Oryzias latipes: one gene and its partners. The protein of the gene in region 2 binds, or shares a complex with, the protein of the main gene of each other region. Links are inferred from orthologs where the notes say so. Each region holds a gene or a part of one and is shown on either strand. Other genes may lie near its edges.

The links.
Region 1: lamtor4 (region 2) and lamtor3 share a complex: the UniProt entries of both Homo sapiens proteins name them as parts of the ragulator complex. The link is inferred for Oryzias latipes from reciprocal best matches to the Homo sapiens genes LAMTOR4 and LAMTOR3.
Region 3: lamtor4 (region 2) and fnip1 share a complex: the UniProt entries of both Homo sapiens proteins name them as parts of the lysosomal folliculin complex. The link is inferred for Oryzias latipes from reciprocal best matches to the Homo sapiens genes LAMTOR4 and FNIP1.

What each region holds. Positions count from the first base shown.
Region 1 is NC_019880.2:24,349,437-24,353,677, forward strand, and holds lamtor3 (ragulator complex protein LAMTOR3), read left to right. Parts: upstream 1-1,297; 5' UTR 1,298-1,363; coding exon 1,364-1,396; intron 1,397-1,480; coding exon 1,481-1,515; intron 1,516-1,670; coding exon 1,671-1,729; intron 1,730-2,096; coding exon 2,097-2,230; intron 2,231-2,876; coding exon 2,877-2,940; intron 2,941-4,008; coding exon 4,009-4,082; 3' UTR 4,083-4,199; downstream 4,200-4,241. UniProt on the Homo sapiens protein: As part of the Ragulator complex it is involved in amino acid sensing and activation of mTORC1, a signaling complex promoting cell growth in response to growth factors, energy levels, and amino acids.
Region 2 is NC_019881.2:23,888,006-23,890,859, forward strand, and holds lamtor4 (ragulator complex protein LAMTOR4), read left to right. Parts: upstream 1-1,279; 5' UTR 1,280-1,385; coding exon 1,386-1,388; intron 1,389-1,461; coding exon 1,462-1,545; intron 1,546-1,607; coding exon 1,608-1,752; intron 1,753-1,817; coding exon 1,818-1,915; 3' UTR 1,916-2,276; downstream 2,277-2,854. Other genes in the region: ADP-ribosylation factor 4, read right to left, coding at 2,726-2,812. UniProt on the Homo sapiens protein: As part of the Ragulator complex it is involved in amino acid sensing and activation of mTORC1, a signaling complex promoting cell growth in response to growth factors, energy levels, and amino acids.
Region 3 is NC_019872.2:4,893,574-4,897,226, reverse strand, and holds part of fnip1 (folliculin-interacting protein 1), read left to right. Parts: intron 1-2,118; coding exon 2,119-2,265; intron 2,266-3,272; coding exon 3,273-3,442; intron 3,443-3,653. UniProt on the Homo sapiens protein: Binding partner of the GTPase-activating protein FLCN: involved in the cellular response to amino acid availability by regulating the non-canonical mTORC1 signaling cascade controlling the MiT/TFE factors TFEB and TFE3.

The DNA of each region.
Region 1 (4,241 bases), on a different chromosome or scaffold from region 2:
GAGCAATCCACACAGAAAGAAACAACCGATCTGGAGGAGGCAGCTCTGCTGAAAAAAGAACTAATGACTTTTATTGGGCAAATGTTACTGATGGATGGACTGACGACGGGCTTTCAGCAGGGACAGCAAGACAGTATAATAATCTATAATAAGGGATGTTACAATACCGGACAAATAAATCAATATATTGTATCTGATTGGAGACCAAATACTAATATTTTCTTGTAGGTGGCAGTAGCTGCGAAATATTTTAGCTGTGTTTAGAATAAGTTTAAAAGAAATTTCCAATTCAAAATAATTGGAAAATAAAGTTTTAGTCAACTTTATTGAAATATGTTGCCAGCACATTTCGATCAGTTGTAAGTAATGTTAGAATCTTCACTTAGTCCAGAACTATGATGGAGGTTCTAATATATTTTCTATCTACATTTTTCCCAGTCAAAAGAAGACAAAAAACATTAGACTTGGTTTGACCATGGATGAACCATGACGTCTGACCACCAGCAGGGGGAGCAGAGAGCACACGGCAGTTTAAAACAGCGAAGAAGAAGCGTCACGTGACAGCGAAGAAGAAGCGTCACGTGACTGCAGCTCTTTGGAAATTCACGGTGGTAGCATCAGCTGATTGTTTGTTTAAACGTTCAGAGGACCGAGCTCACTGTGGAAACGCTCCGGACGGGCTCGTCGTGTTTTGGATTCGGAGCCGGCGGTTCTCCTGACTTCCTGTGACGGAACCGGCTTGGGTCCTCGGAGCTGCCATGGCGGACGTGAGTCTGTCTGTCCTCCTTTAGCACCTCCTGTTCTGTTAGGCTTCACTAAAAACTCTTTAGTTTTTGGGAAGATGCTCAAAGTTCACTATTCTCTTCTAATTACAAAAACACACAGTATCATGTGGGATGGTTTGTAGGTGATAAATTATTTCATTTGGCATTTAATATTGTATTAATGTTTCATTCACAACAGCAAATTCTTAAAAAAAAATCAAACCATTACTTAATAAATTTTAGAGAGAGATATGTTTTTTTTAATCACTAAAGTTTATTAAAACAAAAGTGCAAAACAGATAAGCTGTGTAACAACCCTTAGTTTTATATTACATTTGTATTAGACTACAGTCCTAATTTTCATCTTTATTTCTTTCTGTTCTATACATGTGGATATGTTGTGTTAAAAACAGACGCTCTACAGAGGTCACGTGACATTTTTCCATTAACTGTTTATGAGAACTAGACTGGGTGACTCCTCCCCCTGGCTGTCCAAACAGGAAGTACCTGTTGGCTCCAAGAAGCCAGAATCCCATAGACTTCTTTGGAGAAATTAACAGCGGTTACTCGGTCACTATTGTCAGTAATGCTGGGTGAAAATGGTGGTGGGGAGACCAGGATCTTCTCTGACGGTTTGAAGCTCTAAAGCTCACAGACGTCCACGTTCTTGACTGTTTCTGAGGTTGCTCCTTAACTCTTTATGCTCCCGTCTGCAGGATCTGAAGAGGTTCCTGTACAAACAGATGCAGAGGTGAGGCTTTTGTCCCTTATTGTTATTGCACAAAGTGATTTACTTTAACTATATAACAAGAAAAAAAAATCTGTATTATAAATCAAATCTCTTTTCTCAAAAAAGAGTTTTTGTATCTTATATCACATGTAAATAGTAGTTTTCTGTGTCCTCAGTGTTGACGGGCTTCACGCTATCGTGGTGACGGACCGAGACGGCGTCCCGGTAATCAAAGGTGAGACTTCTTCTGTTTCGGGTTTTCTGTTCCAATAAACTGTGTTTTAATAACTTATTAGAAATACTTTTGGCCTCAGGGCCAACCTGCTACTCAACAGGAACGCTTTATCCTCAGCCTCAGCAGCTTCTTGTTGTGGCAGTAGTTTCATGGTTTGGGGTGACTCAGCTCTGGCTCCACTCGTACGAGTTTAGGTTAGAAGTCACCAAAGTAGAGCAGAAAATGGATCTAAAAGACTCATTCATCTGCATTTTAGGGGTCAAACTGTTGGGGATTTTTCTGACTTTTTTTTCTGGCCCTGGTCTTTGAACGCACCGCTCACCAGCAGGAAGTCCTCATCCTAACACGCCTGCTTGTTTTCCTCCAGTTGCCAACGACAGCGTTCCGGTGCACGCGCTCAGACCGGGCTTCCTGTCCACGTTCGCTCTGGCCACGGATCAGGGGAGCAAGCTGGGCCTCTCCAAGAACAAGAGCATCATCTGCTACTACAACACCTACCAGGTGACCCCTCCCAGCATCACCGCGTGGGGGCGTGGCAGCCGGAACACCGGCGCCTTTCACCCGCGCTCGCTTCATCCGGTTCCTGCCAGTTTGTGTCCGGTCCGGGTCAGATCCAGAACCAGACTCTAGTCTCCATCGTCTCTTATAGTAACAAACTTCCTGTTTGTAAACTTTTGGGGGTGGGATTAAGAGAATAGCCTCACATAAAAGCAGAGTGAGACGGACTGAAATGAGATGATCCATGGGAGTCGGATCACAACAGAAGCACTAGAGCAGGTTCTGTAAATGTCAGAGGGTTCTGAGAGTAAAGAAGAACTTCTGCTGGGACAGAGAGGAGAAAAGTCTGCAAACGTTATCCTCTGATGGAGCAGACAAAACGTCCAGCAGAGGAAAATCTCAGAATCTGTTGGTCTTCTTTTGTTTTTCATGATTTGTTAAGCCAGCTGAACTTTTTCCTGAGTTTTTTTAAGAAAAATCAGAGAAGTGAAAATATTTGGGTTTTTTTTATTGCTAAGTAAAAAAAAAAACCAAATCACTCTGATGGATTCCTTCTGCTCTGAACCAGCCTAACCCGGCCAATCTCCATGGTAACCAGACTCTGCTCTGGTTCTGCCTTTGTGACCCGTCTGCTGTCTCTGCTCGACAGATCATGCAGTTTAACCGCCTGCCGCTGGTCGTCAGCTTCATCGCCAGCAGCAGCGCCAACACAGGTGAGATGAGGAGGCGTGTCTGAGGAGCCCCGCCCACTGGTTATCTGCAGTCTGTTTGATGTTCTCTGAACAGAGCGTGTCTTAAAATGATCTCAGTCTTCATCTCCGTGCACCCCGCTGTTCGTGTGTAGCTTATTGCTGCATCGTGGGGAAGGAGAAATATCGCCATGGAAACGCAAAAACTTTTACCTGAGGCCTTTTCATCATCCAAATGAAAGAAAGCAGAGAAAGTGACTCAGCATCATCGTCCAAAATATGTTGCAATGTGGTAATACTGGCATTTAAAATACGGCTCAAGAGCCAAGAAGTTGAAGTTTATCTGAGAAAAAACCCGACATTTCAGATCATTTAGTCTGACGGGAATCTCCAGGAATGTTCTGGATTATATTTAGTGAAAAGAAGAAAAAAAGTTCTTGTCAAACCCCTTCTGACAAAAGATGAATCCTGTGAGTCTGACCCATCCTGCAGACTCAGGTGGGAGGGGCCTAATCAAAACCTAGAGTGAGCCCTCCCCCCCTGGCGTTCCAAACAGGAAGTACCTAATCCTACAGAGAAATAGACAGCTGTTACTCAGTCTTTTGATCCGAGTAAGTATTCTTACTCGGATACATTTTTTTTATGATCGTCATATTTTTCTGTGGTTCAAGTTATAAACTGACCAATCAGATAAGAGTATCCATTCGACAGATTTCATGTCTTTTAAGTGGTGGTAGGGGTGTGGAGTTCCAACAAGCTCACTCCTGATTGGTGAGAGTGGTTGCCATAGAAACATGGACTCAGATTGACTTATCGCTGCTTATATATCCTGAAAAAATGGCGAGTGAATTGACTTCATGTGGTTGGAGCTGGAGGTAAACCATTTTCTCTGTGTGATGTCACATTCAGTCCAGTGCTCATATGCAGTCAGGGGATTCTCCAGATAAACCTGATCCTGACCAGGGTAGGGTCAGATTGTTTCCATAGCAACAGACTCCAGTTAGGAGCCATCCAGCTTTGTGAAAATGAATCCATCTGGTTTTTCACACGAGTGGGAGGCGTTTTGTAAAAACCCTCCTTTTCTGTCCTCAGGCCTCATCATGACTCTGGAGAAGGAGCTGGCTCCTCTGATGGAGGAGCTGAGGCAGGTGGTGGAGGTCACATAAAGTCCCATGATGCTTTGCTAAGAAAACCCGCCTACAGTTTCTACCGTCGCCTCTGCTGCAAACTTCTCACCTTGCGTTGTCATTTCTAACTCTTGAATAAAAGCTTTTCCATCAGGAGCTCCACTGTTTGTTTTTTTCTCTGAGAAGAGTGAAGAACCA
Region 2 (2,854 bases):
ACTAAAAAATGCCCCCCCCCAGATTCAATCCCAATAGAGGAATCAGATGGGGGGGGGGGTCCTATTTCACCGTATCTTTTTCTTCTAGTTACCCAAACTCTTGCTGATTGTATCAATATTCATAAATTAAAAGGCGTCTCAGTTCTTAATAAAGAAATGTTAATGAGTCAGTTTGCTGATGACACGACTCTCTTCTTCAGAGACAGCAGTCAGGTTTCCTGATCTCTGAACCGTATCCAGTCTGTCTCTGATGTCTCAGGTCTACGTCTCAGTCTGAACAAATAAGAACTTCTTTCTGTTGAAGATTGTGCTTTAGAATCTGCAACAGTCCTGTAATAGAAACTGTAACATATTTAGGCGTTAATATTTCCAAAAGTAGTTTAGAAAGATGCTCATTAAATTTCCCTCCCCCTCATTGATGAAGCCAAAAAACGTTTGAACCAAAGGCTTCAGAGAGACCAGAGTCTGAGGAAGGATTCACTCTCCACAGCAGAGGGGATTTCTAGACTGACTAATTCTGGACAATCAGACTCTGAAATCTATTGATCAAATGCTGCTAAACTTCATCTGGAAAAACCGGATTCATTATTTAAAAAATCTGTATTAATGAACTCCTATGAAAAAGGAGGCCTAAATTTTCTTGATCTTACTACTTTAAATAATACTTTTAAAATAAACTGGATGATATTTCAAAAATCCACTCTCCATTTGGAATATTTTCCCTCGTCACATGTTTGCTAAAGTAGCTTTTCTCCATTTTCTTCTGCTTTGTGATTATAATATCGACAGAATCCCAGTGAAAATCTCTGCTTTTCACAGATTCTTCTTTCTTATCTATAAACACAACTTTTCTCCTCATAAGTTTTTTATTTGGAATAACAGAGATATCCTTTACAAGAACAAATCTTTATTTTACAATCATTGGTTTGACAATAATATCCTACTGGGGACGCCGTTCCTACTGAATCTGTGAACTCTTTAAAAATACTGTACTTGATGCAAATATTCCCTTCATGTCTCTAAGTGACACTAATGTTGGAAAATCTTGTTTCAACTAAAGAATAACAAGATCATCCGTGTTTCAGCTAAACGTCATTTCTGTTCCTCTGCTGTTTTCTATTGGAGAACATTTATTCCTGACTCGTCCTGGAAAAATGTTTGGACCCTGAATCAGAAATGATTAATTAATAACAAGATGAGAGACGTCTGCTACAAACGTCTACATAGAATCTACCCCATAATCAATACATGCTCAGATAGAAGAAAACTATTGACTAAGTAAACAGGAAGTGTAGCGAAACAGACCGGAAGTCGCTTGGAAGGCCTGAAAGGCACCGCCCACCAGCCTACGTCAGCAGTCACGTGAAGGATCATCTTCCGGAAGAATGGTGAGTTCGCTCTCTGTCTCCGTGCCGCTTTTCCGAACCGAACCTCACCGAACCTCACGTGTGTTGTGTGCAGAGCACGGCGGCGCTGACGGCGGGTCTGGACCGGATCCCGGACCAGCTCGGGTACTTGGTGATCAGCGAGGACGGAGTTCTGGCGGTAAGTAGTATCCGGGCCCAGCTTTGTTACCGAACCGAACCTGAGCAGGCTCACCTGTGCAGTCGGCAGGTGAGCTGGAGAACGACGAGCACACGGCGAGCGTCATAATGCAGATGGTCCGGACCGCGAACCGCTTCCGGTTATCTGGATCTGCGGACCACTTCCGGTCACCCGGATCCGAGGACGTCCCGTTTAAGCGCATGTCCGGTAAGTCACACCTGACAGGTGAGCTCGGCTGGTGATGCCCCGCCCTGACTCGGTTCTGTTCGCAGTGGTTCTGGAGGACTTCGTCTTGGCGGTGACCGTTTCCGGTCAGAAGGTGTTTGTGGTCAAACGTCAGCACGCGCATCCTGAGCACGTCACAGCGTGAAGGCGGGGCCAGGCGGAGAGGACGACAGTCCACCTTTGGACCGAGTCGGAACCGACTTGCTCAGTAATGAACTGATGTGACCCACCAATCGCACAGAACTGGAGCAAGTTCTCTAAACAGTTTCGGTTCTGTTTGGATCATTGGACAGAACCCAGTTACGTTTAGGTTCTGGACCTTTACAGAACAAGGTCAGCTACAGTGGTTCTGAAGGCAGAGCGGAAGACCGATCCTGCAAAGGTTCTGCTGCATGTTTTGGATTCTGAAATAAAATCTTCATCTCCCAAAGAAACCAGATTTTCTGTCAGAACTTGTCATTTAAATAAAGTTTTAATGTTTTGAAAACTGATTCAAATAAACATACGAAAACCTGAAGTTTGTCTGATCCTTAACCAGATTCAGTTCTGAGACCGGTCTGGTCTAGAGTCTGCAGGTTCTGGTTCAGAACAAAGCCCACCAGCGTGACAAGAAAAAGCTTTATTGCGTCATCTTCTTCATCTCTTCTTCACATTAGGCAGGAATGACGGGGGCGCCGGTCCGGCTGTGGAATGACTCGTCACCTGCCCAGGTAGCTCTCACCTGCCCCAAGCCCCACCCCTCTCCCAAAACATCCTGTCACATGATCTGGATTTAAAACATGCGCATAAAAGAACAAACACCGGCAGAAGAAGAAGAGGATGATGGGAAACCTCAGAGTCTGTGACATCACTTCCTTCTACAGCTATAATTTAAAAAAAGAAAAAAAAAACAGGAACAGTCTGGCGGAAGGCTCCTCCTCTTCCTCTGTACACGGTGACATCATCAGTCAGCTGCTTAGCGTTTGGACAACTCATTGGACAGCCAGTCCAGCCCCTCGTACAGACCGGTCCCCTGAGTGGCACAGGTGGCCTGGACGTGCCACTGCAACACACAAACACACACATGTCAGGAGGAGCGGTTCTG
Region 3 (3,653 bases), on a different chromosome or scaffold from region 2:
AACATAAAAGCCACTGCAGCCTGGGCTTGGGTTATGATGGGGTGTTGCAGCACAACTGAGAGTCCTGAGTCGTGGATTGATGCCCCAGGGTTAAAGCCCTGTCCCTTCTGACTACATGTATTTCAAAACCAGACACGCAGTGAACACCTATGAGCGAAGTAACCAGAAACCGTGCAGCTCTGCAGCCATACTTGTTCTTCAGCTGATCTAAAAGCAGAAAACAAGAAATTCTTTGCTGATGGTAACCTGTAGTTGGATTGTAAATCTCAAAACAAAAGCTACACTTCTTAAATATGTGAACGATTTTATATAATGACTTGCAGAACAATGCTTGGTAAACCACAGTGCCACAAATGTTGCCCCTCCATAGCTGCTCGTTTAAAATCGACAGGTCAGGTCACAGATTTACTGCGTGAAGTTCACCTGAACAGCTGCTGCAGGCTCAGACTAGATTTCACTCTTCACTTAATGCTGGCCAAGACTTCCTCACAATGGAAGCTTGTCATGGCACGAATGTGCGACATGGAGCGTGCGCTCAATGTGCCTTAAAAAGCCTCAGACAAGTTGATAATATGGGAATGACTGACGTGGATCCGGGTCATTTGATGCTGGCATCCAAAGTCTGATCTTCTGTACTGACGTAAAGACACTGAGAGACAGACGTGTGTTGGACGTAACGATTATTCATTCTTGTGGGTTCAAGCTGTGGCCACTGTAACTCTGCCCTACACTGATAAATTCATTATATTTCAAACCCAGATCTGACGGTTTTGGTTGTCCAACTCAGGACGACACCAATTCAAACTGTAAAGCTTAAGAAAACTTCACTACAGGTTTTCACAGACGTGTTTTTGTTGAAGGAGAAAAAATGTCCACCTTGAAACTTAGTGGTCAGTTTTCAACAATATCACTGTAACTGATCTTAAATGTCACTCCCCTGACATAACTGGGGAGGGCAGGTTGAAGGTTATGCAATGAAACCACTGAACTAAAAACAGCTTTCAGCATCTTATTTGCTTTGCTTTTTAAAGTCACATGCTATTTTTAAAAAATCAATTTATGCTAAGCCATGAAGTCCAGACATTTCTATTTTGCGTTTAAAAAAACAAACTAAAAACCTGCATCCCAATTAAAGGAGGGGGTCGCTGCCGAGCCAGTTCCTTTGATATCCTATTTAATATCTGTTCTTTTTGTTAAATGACTATTATAAAATCAGTTTTATTTGGTTATATAAAATGTTTTCACACAAATAAATGAAACAAAGGGGACATTTTTATCAACCTAGCAAGGAATTGGAACAGAAAAGCTATTTTTTTGCACAACACATCTAAAGACAAGTAATTTACAGATTTGAAGAATCAATTCAGCATTTTCTAAGGAAACATGAATTCAGGTTTCATTCTTTTTTATTAATACCAGCCCTAATTTTTGAAACTGTGTGGCACAGATGTTTTCCAACAGCCTGCAGCTGCTTTGTATGCATTATTCAGTGGCTCCTTTATAGGTCAGAGATCATGAGGTCAACCTGTTTACAGTCTGACATTTCCTGCACTGTCCAGTTGGACAAAGTCAGTCAGTTTAGCATTATCAGTCCCCATGATCAGGACGTTGGTCTTGTGACAGATCACAGGGCTGTCAGCAGCTGGTCCAGTCCCTTATTTTTGCTGAATTTGCTGAGAAAAGCAAGATTAAAATGATTCCTCAAGCAGCTCCGACTGGATTTGATTAGTTTTAGGTTTTTAAAGTCAGTTACTGGTGTATGTTTTTGAAGGATTTGGAACATTGTTCCGACGCCTTGCGAAAGCTTGGACCTTAGCCGAGACGAACTCCGGGAACACCCCATGCTCCATGGAAACTCCAGGCCCCCTTAACAGATGAGCCGATTCACATAAAGATATGCACATTCCCAGCCGCTGTGTGTGCATGCAGGATTGCGTGGACGTTTGCCTAACTGTCACAAACACCCAGCAGGGCTCTCCCAGAACCCTGGCGGGTGAACTGAGATCTCCTTTGTTTGTCTTCAGAAACAAAAACGCCTCTGTTCTCTTGTTCATTTTTATTTTCTCTCCCCATTCCCACTCCTGCTTTCATTCCTCCCTCGCCATACCTCATCTCCAGGATGACCATCTGTGACCTCTACACAATGCCCCGCGTGGCCGAGCCCGTCTGGTTGACTATGATGTCTGGCGCTTCGGAGAAGAACCAGCTCTGCGGTCAATTCATGAGGGAACTCTCCCTGCTGATGGAGCAGGCCTCCAAGAACCAGTTGAGTTTCTGCCTGTACTCACACCACCTTCCCCTTTAGGTTCTATTTCTGCCACGGAAGTGTCTTTCATGGGAAGAACGGTACCATAGAAACTAACTTTCAAACCATCACAGACGATGTTGGTCCTTCTCTTTAAGCTAATAGGTGGCAACATTTATCAAAGAAACATGTCAGCATTATAAAAAATGTTACTGGGCTAGTCTTAATTCAACATTGTCATCAGCAAAGAAACACAAGCAGACTCACACACTTACTGTTCATTCTCTCCCAACAAAAGCCTTCATTACACTAAACGAGCCTCATTTGCTGCGACTGACTGCATCTCCTGCCTTTCCTTGGTCCGTCTCCAAAGAGCTGTGAATAAGAAGCCTGCCAGTCTCTAACCGCTTATTGTCAAAGTTACAAAGCCAAGTCAAACTAATTGTAAGCGTCTGAATTGGTAGCAGGGCTTTTATTGAACATGCCTTACTTACTTGCTGCAGTTTATTTAGAGTGGAAATCTACTGAAAGTTTTCACTAAGGGTTTTTCAGTCTGTAATATATTTAATGAAGTTTAATGAGTGTATATATACCTATAACCTATATACTTTTAATCAATACTGCACTTCAATATTGATTACACTTCATCCAAGTGCATTTGGGTCGAGACATGTTTCCCTGACCCCAGCGGACTTGATGGCTGTCGAAGCTCTGTCCTGGCACGTGATGAAACAAGACTTTCGTGATCGGTTGAATCATGAGACAGGAAGGGAAGTAGACACTTGTGGTCAGAACTGGGAAGTGAATCATGCCGTTAGTGTGTGAGTTTGTCACAAGTGTGTGTACGTGTGTTGCAAAAGCAGAATGTGTTATGTGGTTTAGGAGAAACTCTCAAGATTTTCTGTGTGGCGACACCATGTTTCATAAGAGGGAACATGAGAACAGTAGTAATTTTAAAAAAAGTGAACTAATAGGAGACGATGTTTGTGTGTGCTGAATTGTGCTCAATGCATCTGATGTCCCCCAGATTCCTCCCTGCATTGTTGACCGCAGTCCTGACCAATCACCTGGCCTGGGTTCCCACGGTTATGCCAAATGGTCAGCCTCCAATCAAGATCTTCCTGGAGAAACACTCATCCCAGAGTGTTGACACGCTGGCAAAAACGCATCCCTACAACCCTCTGTGGGCACAGCTAGGTGAGTCTCACAGCTCGCCAAACTTGTCCTGATCTTCATTTTCCAGGGATTGTTTTAAATGTGTTAAAACATATCCTGCCTGAAGCATAATGATATCTTTAGTGTCCAATAAATATTTTTAATCTTTCAAAAAATATACTTTTTTAGTGTTAGTTTATGTATTTTAATGATTTAATCATCCTGCTGTTAAAGGGCAGTATATAATACTAAA